Linked DNA regions of Schizosaccharomyces pombe. The gene in region 2 interacts genetically with the main gene of each other region. Each region holds a gene or a part of one and is shown on either strand. Other genes may lie near its edges.

Evidence for each region.
Region 1: mutations in deg1 (region 2) and trm61 together harm fitness more than expected from each alone (negative genetic interaction), as found in Schizosaccharomyces pombe (2 studies listed by BioGRID).

What each region holds. Positions count from the first base shown.
Region 1 is NC_003424.3:1,991,738-1,996,696, reverse strand, and holds trm61 (tRNA (m1A) methyltransferase complex catalytic subunit Trm61), read right to left. Parts: upstream 3,041-4,959; 5' UTR 2,768-3,040; coding exon 1,673-2,767; 3' UTR 1,490-1,672; coding exon of another isoform or gene 549-1,489; 3' UTR 507-548; downstream 1-506. Other genes in the region: Swr1 complex/NuA4 histone acetyltransferase complex subunit Swc4, read left to right, coding at 14-219, 284-372, 429-506, 549-1,489; mitotic septin Spn4, read left to right, coding at 3,768-4,910. UniProt on the Schizosaccharomyces pombe protein: Catalytic subunit of tRNA (adenine-N(1)-)-methyltransferase, which catalyzes the formation of N(1)-methyladenine at position 58 (m1A58) in initiator methionyl-tRNA.
Region 2 is NC_003424.3:4,160,751-4,164,707, reverse strand, and holds deg1 (tRNA-pseudouridine synthase), read right to left. Parts: upstream 1,990-3,957; 5' UTR 1,909-1,989; coding exon 556-1,908; 3' UTR 501-555; downstream 1-500. Other genes in the region: dia4 (serine--tRNA (Ser) ligase), read left to right, coding at 1-51, 109-430; splicing suppressor Mss51, read left to right, coding at 2,720-3,856.

The DNA.
Region 1 (4,959 bases), 2.2 Mb from region 2:
AGTTCAAAATACAATGACTAGTGCTGACATTCGGGATGTCTTTGAATTACCTCCTCCTGAAATAGGAAATAAGCAGAAATCTAAAACTCCAACAGAGAGAAGGCCAGAAGGAATTTCTCGAGAACTTTATTCATTGCTAGGCGAGAATTCTGCCCCGTTAGCAATATACCAAAAGAAATTTAAGGAAAAACCAAAAGTTAGTCACAAAGCTAAAAATTGGTGAGTAAATCAGAGCTCAAATAAATAAATTTGTGTATTCAGTAAGGAATTTACTAATTTGTAGGGTACGCCAGCCCTTTTCCATATCAAGCCGTAAGGATGATTTTACTTTGCATCATTGGGTCCTTAAATCAGAAGTAGATTCTGAAGCCTGTATGTTTGAAATTTTATTTGATAAGCGCTTGGTTAAACTAACCTAAACTGTGTAGCATACAAATTTGAAAAATTTAACGTCCCTCTGTTTATAATTGACTACACCGACGAAGAGTACCAAAATTATTTAAAAGGTTGAGATTCTCTACTATATTTCATTAACTAATTTGTTGTAGATGAGGATTGGAATAAAGATGAAACCGACTACCTATTCCGTTTATGCAAAGATTATGACTTGAGGTTCTTTGTAATAGCAGATCGTTATGATAATGAAAAATATAAAAAACATCGAACGCTTGAAGATTTAAAAGACAGATTTTATTCTGTGTCGCGAAAAATTCTATTAGCCAGGAATCCCATTAATTCAATGACTGCTGCACAGAGCTCTTTGTTGAATACGATGGAGTACAATAAAGAGCAAGAAGTTATTCGGAAGAAGTATCTAATTGGGCTTGCTTCTAGGACGCCTGAAGAAGTTGCAGAAGAAGAAGCTTTATTTATTGAATTAAAACGTATTGAAACATCACAGGCTAAATTATTAAGTGATAGAGACGAAGTTCTCCGTCTATTAGATGAACAGAAAGGAGATGGTGGCATTCATGAATATCACACAAGTGCTGGAATGAGCAGTTTAATTCAAGATATGATTAATTCTCAAAGAACCAAAAATAAAGTGGAGGAAGCTATTGTATCTTCTTCAGCCCCTTCTTCTGGAGTGTCTAGTGTTTTAAATACCCCTACTCGTCCACATGCTCTCAGCACACCAAGAATCAGATACGGTCCGCAACCGACAGATCCACAATTTGGCATCACTTGGCACGAAAAACTACATCCGGGCACTTTTGTTCGTTCCCAAAAAATCCCTGCCATAAAGGCTTCTTTATCGCAGAGAGTTTCGTCAGTTATGACTGAACTAGGAGTTTCTTCAAGGCTGATTATGCCGACAGCTAAAAACTTTGAGAAGTTCGTTGAGCTACAAAACTCAATCGTTTCGCTACTGGAACTGAAAAGAAAGGTAGATAGACTATCTCAGGAAACTGAAATTCAGGACAAGTTGAGCCGTAAACGCTCAGCTTCTCCTGACGGCTCCGAGAGTAAAAAGCACATAAGTCAATAATTCTATGACATTATACTCGATCTCAATTTGGGTAGTTACGTTTTTATAATAACAAGTTTTGAATGTTTGACGCGTTAATATTATTTTTTGTACCCTGTATGTCATTTACCGTGCCTGTGTGTCCTTTGGAGTACTTCGGCCTATTTTCACTAAATTTCTGTTTTGCATAAATATGAAAGTTATCTAAGGGCCTGTCTCCTGGTTCTGTTTATCTAGCTGAGATGGCAAATGCACCGCAAATAGCAAATAACTGGTGTGTGATTTTAAGTTAGAATCAACTCTTGCAACATCTGTCCATTCGTAATTTCCATCACCTTCTCTAATGCGTTTGTTAGTAACGGGCTTTAACGCCGTTTCTGTGGACACAGAAGACTTGTTTTCACCAAGCATTGAATCGTTATCTTGATCTTCTACCTTCGCATCAGAAGATAAGTTTTGTTCACGCCTCATTTTTCTTCTCTCAAATCCTTCGATCCTCCTTCTTTTAACCTCTTTTAGCCTATCGATTGCTTCGTCAATATGAACAATTCGACTCTTACGAGCAGCCCATTGCTTATAATCAACTTCAATCATTTCAATATCACACCAGCCAAGTTCTCGTAGTGCTTCAGCAGAATGTTGAATTTGTTCTATACAAGGAGAAAAACAACAAATTCGAGTGCTTTTATCATGATTTACATGATTCGAAAGATGCGGTATTGCTTCCCAGGGAGCTGGAAGGTCTAAAAATATAGCGTCAACCTTTACCTCCGTATCCAAAAAACCATCTTTGCAGACATCTCTATGAGTTAGATGAGTATTTCCACCCACATCAATTAACATCTCGTGTTCCCGAAATTCTTGTAACGCTGTTTGATAGCGAGTTGCGTGATATTCGAAAGTAAATAATCTTCCAAGAGGGCCGACTGTTCGCGATATTGCGTGTGACATGCTAGCACTACCAGTACCAGCTTCTATTACTCGGGTTCCGTAAGTGATACGAAGCTTTTGGTGGATTAAAGCAATATCTGGAGTGTAAACAATTTGTGTTCTGTGAGGAAGAGCGAGGGTCCATAGTTCCGGAGTTGGTTGAAGAAGGTAAATAAATCCTTGCTTCGCTGTAGATGCAATTTGCTCGCCGTACCTTTTACCAATCATTTCGGAATGTGGGAAGGCACCATATTGATTATGAAATGTTTTTTCAGCTTCTATATGTAAAGGAATCAACTTGTTCCTACCAATCCAAGCTACTGCCAAATCGCCATTTTCAACACGTTGTTTATAGTCTGCAAATACCATTATAAATTTCAAAAAAACATATAATATATATATATATATATGTATTACGAAAAATTAGAAGGTAGTGTTATTTAATTGCGTTTTAACAAATCAATATAATTAGCCAAAGAAAAATTGGGACTTAATTTTTCGTTGGTCTAAATTACCGGGTGCATTCACGATTATTGAAGAGTTAATAAAATAAGTCAGTGTGAAGTATATGAAGATCCGCTCAAATCTGTAATTTTAAATCATACAAGACTGAAGTAAAGAAGTTTTTAAAACTAATGTGTTGAGATAAATTTTTTTAGTCTTTTCAAGATATTATGGTTAACCTATCCCTACGCCCACTATGCTATTATTTTAGTTAACATTTGTTTAGTGTAGCCATGTTTCATTAGTTAAATATTAATAACGATATCTCACATTAACTCTCAAAGCTACGAACGTAAAATTCGTTAAATAATTTAGAAAATGCTATCAATGCTGCCGTTAATTACTATGCTGCCACGAATTAACTTTACACTGCAACAAGTTAGTACTTGTATATCAACTAAAACAACGATTTTGATCATCATATTACCTGTGTAGTAACTATTTTCTTGAACAATATAATGAACATTAAATCAATAACTTAAATGCATACTTCCCAGCAATCTATTTCTGTTACGTAGTATAGAGGTTTTTATATATTTGCCAAGCATAATTTCTGGCATTCAGAATCTTTATGAAATTTAATGAGCAAACTAGTAATGATAGTTAGTATATTTACGAGACGAAAGCCCGTTAAAAATATAATGAGGTATAGTGATCATATAGTTATATCGCTAACGAGTGATTGCAACGAAGCTTCGATTATCTATTTACTTAGACCTTCCGTTTTTTACCATTTATGCTTTAATAAAACTAATAACAATTCTCTTGCATTTTTTGGAAACTTTTTTATTTAGTTTGGAAGCTTTTAAGTCAATATTTTACAGACCGTTAAACAAAGGAAATATACTATTCATCTCTGCGCGTCATGAATGAAGAAGAGACAAACTTCGTTGGAATTGCGGATTTACCTAATCAGCGTCACAAAATAGTTTCACGAAATGGTGTAGCTTTCACTTTGATGCTTTGTGGAGAGTCGGGTCTTGGTAAAACAACATTTTGTAATACACTCTTTTCAACAACAATTAAATCACATATGGGCCCGGAAAAGGTTCGTGCGAAGCATGCTGAGAAAACGGTCGAAATAGAGATTACAAAAGCTGAGTTAGAAGAAAAAAATTTCCACTTAAGGTTGACAGTAATTGATACCCCTGGTTTTGGGGATTTTATCAATAATTCAGGATGTTGGGAGTCGGTAGTTGAATTTATAGAAGACCAGCATGAATCGTACATGAGACAAGATCAGCAGCCAGATCGTCGTAAGATCATTGATATGCGTATTCATGCTTGCCTATATTTTTTGCGTCCCGTAAGAAATGGTGTTCGGCCTATGGATTTGGAGGCTATGAAACATATTTCTAAGCGTGTCAATTTAATTCCTGTCATAGCTAAAGCCGATATGTATACTCGAAGGGATTTAGCTCTGTATAAAACTAGAATTTCTCAAGTTTTAGAATACCATCAAGTCAATGTTTATAAACCTAATATGGATGAGGGCGATCCCGTTTTTCACAGACAAATTCAAGGAATCATTAATTGCATGCCATTCGCGATTGTTGGAAGCGAAGATGACATCCGTACTCCTGATGGTAGGGTCGTTAAGGGTAGAGAATACCCATGGGGAATTGTTGAAATTGAGAACGAAGAACACTGCGACTTTAAACAGCTTAGGAATATTTTAATTCGGAGTTGTATGCTTGATTTGATTCAAACTACTGAAGAAAAGTTGTATGAGCAATATCGACAAGAGCAGATGAAAGTTCGCCAGTATGGAGAACCTAAACTGCGGACTATTGATAATGCGAAATTTAAGGAAGAAGAAGAAAATTTGAGAAAAAGATTTACAGAACAAGTGCGCGTAGAAGAAACTCGATTTCGACAATGGGAACAACGCTTGATTGCCGAACGCGACTCATTAAATAAAGATTTGGAAGCTCAGCATGTTCAAATAAAACAAATTGAACTTGAAATCGAACGACTAAAGGCGGCTACCAGCTCTCGCAAACGTTAGAGATAATGTTAAAATATAACGAAACTTGATACCCAATTATCATTTGGGT
Region 2 (3,957 bases):
GATTGTTAATTTTCAAAAAGAGTTTGTAGAAACTTTAAAAATACCCGCAAGGTACATATCAAATCTAACAAAAATACCACTTTAATGATCTAATGCTAACGAATATAGAATTTTGAATATGCCAACTGCGGAATTGGGATCTTCGGCCTCTCAAAAATATGACATCGAAGCGTGGATGCCAGCGCGACAATCATACGGGGAGATAACTTCAGCATCTAATTGTCTTGAATACCAAGCTAGGCGTCTACTCACACGATATCGAAATGACAAAGACTCGGGTTTTGTTCACACACTGAACGGCACAGCAGCTGCCATCCCTAGGTTAATAATAGCTATCCTTGAAAATCACCAACAAGAGGATGGCACTGTTAAAGTTCCGGAAACCCTTGTCCCTTACATACACAAGGAATACCTTTTTAAAGCAAAATAATTTTAGTACATCATAAGTCTTACTTACAACTAATTATTTAAGAAGGTTATACTAAAATTGATAATATATTTTGGACCAAAATAAAATTAGCAATTAACCTAAAACCTGTTCTGTCATAAGACAATCTATTTAATATTTTCACTCTTCACGTCACTGTCTTTTAAACCTTTTTTACGTTTATATCTTTCATTGACGACCTCCACTGATTCCTGACGTTGTCTAGAAAGAATTGGGATGTACTTTTTTGTTCGCTTCAGCAATCCTTCACCAACGTTCATAGTACTGCTTGACTCTTCCGATTTGCCATATCTTTTTACATTATGATCTGCTATGTCAAGCATAAACGAAGCTATCTGCTCTCGAATACGTAGACTATGCCACTGATGATATATGGTTTCATATGTATGTTTAGCGATACGAGGAGCAGTCGTAGGACTATCCGTAGGTAGTGTCCATTCAATATTATCAAAGTCACAGTCGTACAAAATCAAAGGATACTCACTTGCCATATCATAAATTGGCTTAGTAGGGACCTTTTTAATATCCAAAAGATCATTGATGAGAGAGGCCGGCTCAAGCTTTTGACCAATTAAAAATAGAATGGCCATCATACATCGTACCTGATGCCATAAAAATGCAGTTCCTTGTAGGTCAAAAGCGTAAAGACCGGTACTGGGATCAATGCAAATAACCTTTGAACTGAGAATTCGACGGTGATAATTTGTAATTTGTTTAGAAGCATCTATTTTGCAAAAATTTCGAAAGTCATGCTCACCTAGATAAAGTGCTGCGGCTTCATTCATTCGATCAATGTCAAGAGAACCACCGGGATAATCCTTAGTAAACAAGTATTTATAATGACGCTGTTTACAGGAAAATCGAGCATCAAAGCCTTCTGGTGGAAATGCATAGCCAGTAATACGTATATCTGCGGGCAACAGGCGATTCAATACATCACAATATATGATAGGTCTTCTTTCTGAATGTCGTACATTTAATGATATAACCTGACCCATGGCTGAAACTCCCTTATCAGTACGTCCACATCGACTAAAGGAACATGATGAAGGATCAGTGATGAGATGAGCTCTCAACAGCGCTTCAAACACCTTTCCTTCAACAGTGGGCAAAGGAGTCGGTTCTAACTGGTAGGCAAGACCATTGTAATTCCAACCACAATAGGCAAATTTAAAAGCAACAAAAACTGTTTTTTCTAGTTGAAACGGTCTGACAGGTTTCAGTTTTGGAAGACTACTTGCGTCCTGAAGCGCATGTTGCAAAACTAGTTCTTGGCTCAGATGCTGGGGTTCTATTTCATTTCCATTATCCAATTTGTTTTTATTTTTAATTACTTCATTTTTCCCCTCAATTTCTTTATTGGGAAGTGAATTTGTATTTTTTTGCAATTTCCCGTCCAATTCTAAAATTCTGGATATTAGCTGGTCTCGAGACCATCCAGCATATTTGGAGGCGGGCATTCGAAGGATTTTAGAAAATTGAAAAATCTTGCCTGAATTATATTGCCAATTTAATTACTGCCTTTGACGAGGTCAGGTGGCAGACGAATAGGTTCGCAAGGCTCTGATAATTAATGACTTGCTTGTCATAAGAGGCAGACATTTTCGCAGTAAAGTTATAAATCATCTATGTAACATTGAGAATTTATCAGATATATTTTTAGTTGCTCATTAGTACAACAGCTTTGGGATTCTGTATGGTCAGTTTGCAGTCTTGTTGGGCCAGCTGGAACTGTTACTAAAATATTGAGTTCACTTTACATTACGAGCAATGAAAATTATAGAAGCTTAGATTAACACAGCTACTTTCGAGATGATTCGTATTCCTTATAGTTGCATTGTAGACTTCCAATAAAGAAAGTGCATTTCCCGTTATGCAATTGATTTACTAGATAGTTCTTTAATATCAACATTATTGAAAATCACCTCTTTGTTGAGTCAACTCAATACTTAATATTTTTTTAAAGAATAAAATTCGCTACTGAATGTCGGTTGCTAATGAACAAAGCAATTGCTTCTACGAACTAATTTGTTAATTTTTTTTACTAAGCATTTCAATAGTTTGCCTTGTTAACGTATTTTTTATGTTCCTTGACATTTTTAATTTTAGTTTCTTCGTCTGCTACTAAACACGTTCACCTAAATCAATACTTGTTAAATTTAGCTGCAACACCGACATAAAAATTTATTTCATTACCTATAGTTACATTGAAACCGGTAGAAGGTTGTTTTTTGGTTCAAGAGTGACGTTTCGCTTATATTTTTTTTACTTATGTCGTTTTTAAAAAATCTCTTCAAGAAGAAATCCCCAACTCATGAATTATTCCATCCTTTATCGCGTTCTCCCTTAACGGCTCTTCGCCGTCGCTCTGAGCATATCAAACAAGTCTATCGGTGTCCAATTTCGGGAAAGTCAGTGGAATATGAGTGTCCTGAATCTGGATTTCCTACTCATTGTAATAGAACTCATTGGGAACAGGACAAGATTCACCAATCCCTTATCCCAAAACTACGCCAAATTAATGAAGACTATCATGACTTAGCACGACCAAACCCTTTGCCGGAACTACTCAAACTTCCTGGACCCATGGAAGAAGATGAAGTAGTTTCTCTTCTGTCATGGGATTCATTCTTCTATACCCGCGATTTCCCAAAGTTCCAATCGTCTAGAACTGCTAGACATATTACTAGTTTATTAACATATCCCATGTCAATCGGCGCTATCCTTCACAAGAATTCTCCTTATAATTTAAAAAATGGGTTAACTCCCCAGGGTCTACAATCATTAACTGCTCTACGATATATGCTTCATCGTCCTTTGTCTGCTCAATCTACTGATCCCAGACCCACTAGAATTTTCGTTTTGGGTGCTACCAAAGAATGTTCATTACCACCATCAATTTGGTTACAAGGATTGAACTTTTTGTTCCCAGGTCGTTTATTTCAATTGCATTTTATCGGACCTGAAGTTGTTGTTCCTTCTAAGCAACCCAATTTGCCTTCCCCACTCAGCCTTCATTTTCATCAGGATTACTACCACAATTTGCATAGAGTTGGAGCCTTTGAGCCTTTTGACCCCTACTATGATACTTTTTTTCTTCCGATGCCTCTTATAAGTCATCCACTTTATTCTTCATCGTGGATTCCGACACTTCACGATTTGGTATCGACTCGTTGCTCTGTATGGCTCACAAGTCCTTCATCTCAAAGAACAACCAAAGATTTGGAAGTTCTTAATAATGTTTTGAAAGATTCAATTGAGCCCTTGTTATTGCCAACTGTTAATAAATTTGCCAGCTTAGGCTGGTCTGTTGATGATTCAAACCTTCATGAAGTTTATCACGCAAATCAAGAAGTATTTGGATTCAGAGCCCTTTATTATAATGTCCAAAATGTTTCCAAAGAGTAATTCTTGTCCGTTAAGTCGTCTACCATCTTCCAATTTCATATTCTAATCTAAAAGCAATCTATTAATGAATTTTAAGGTCCAAATTTTGGATTGTGAATAAA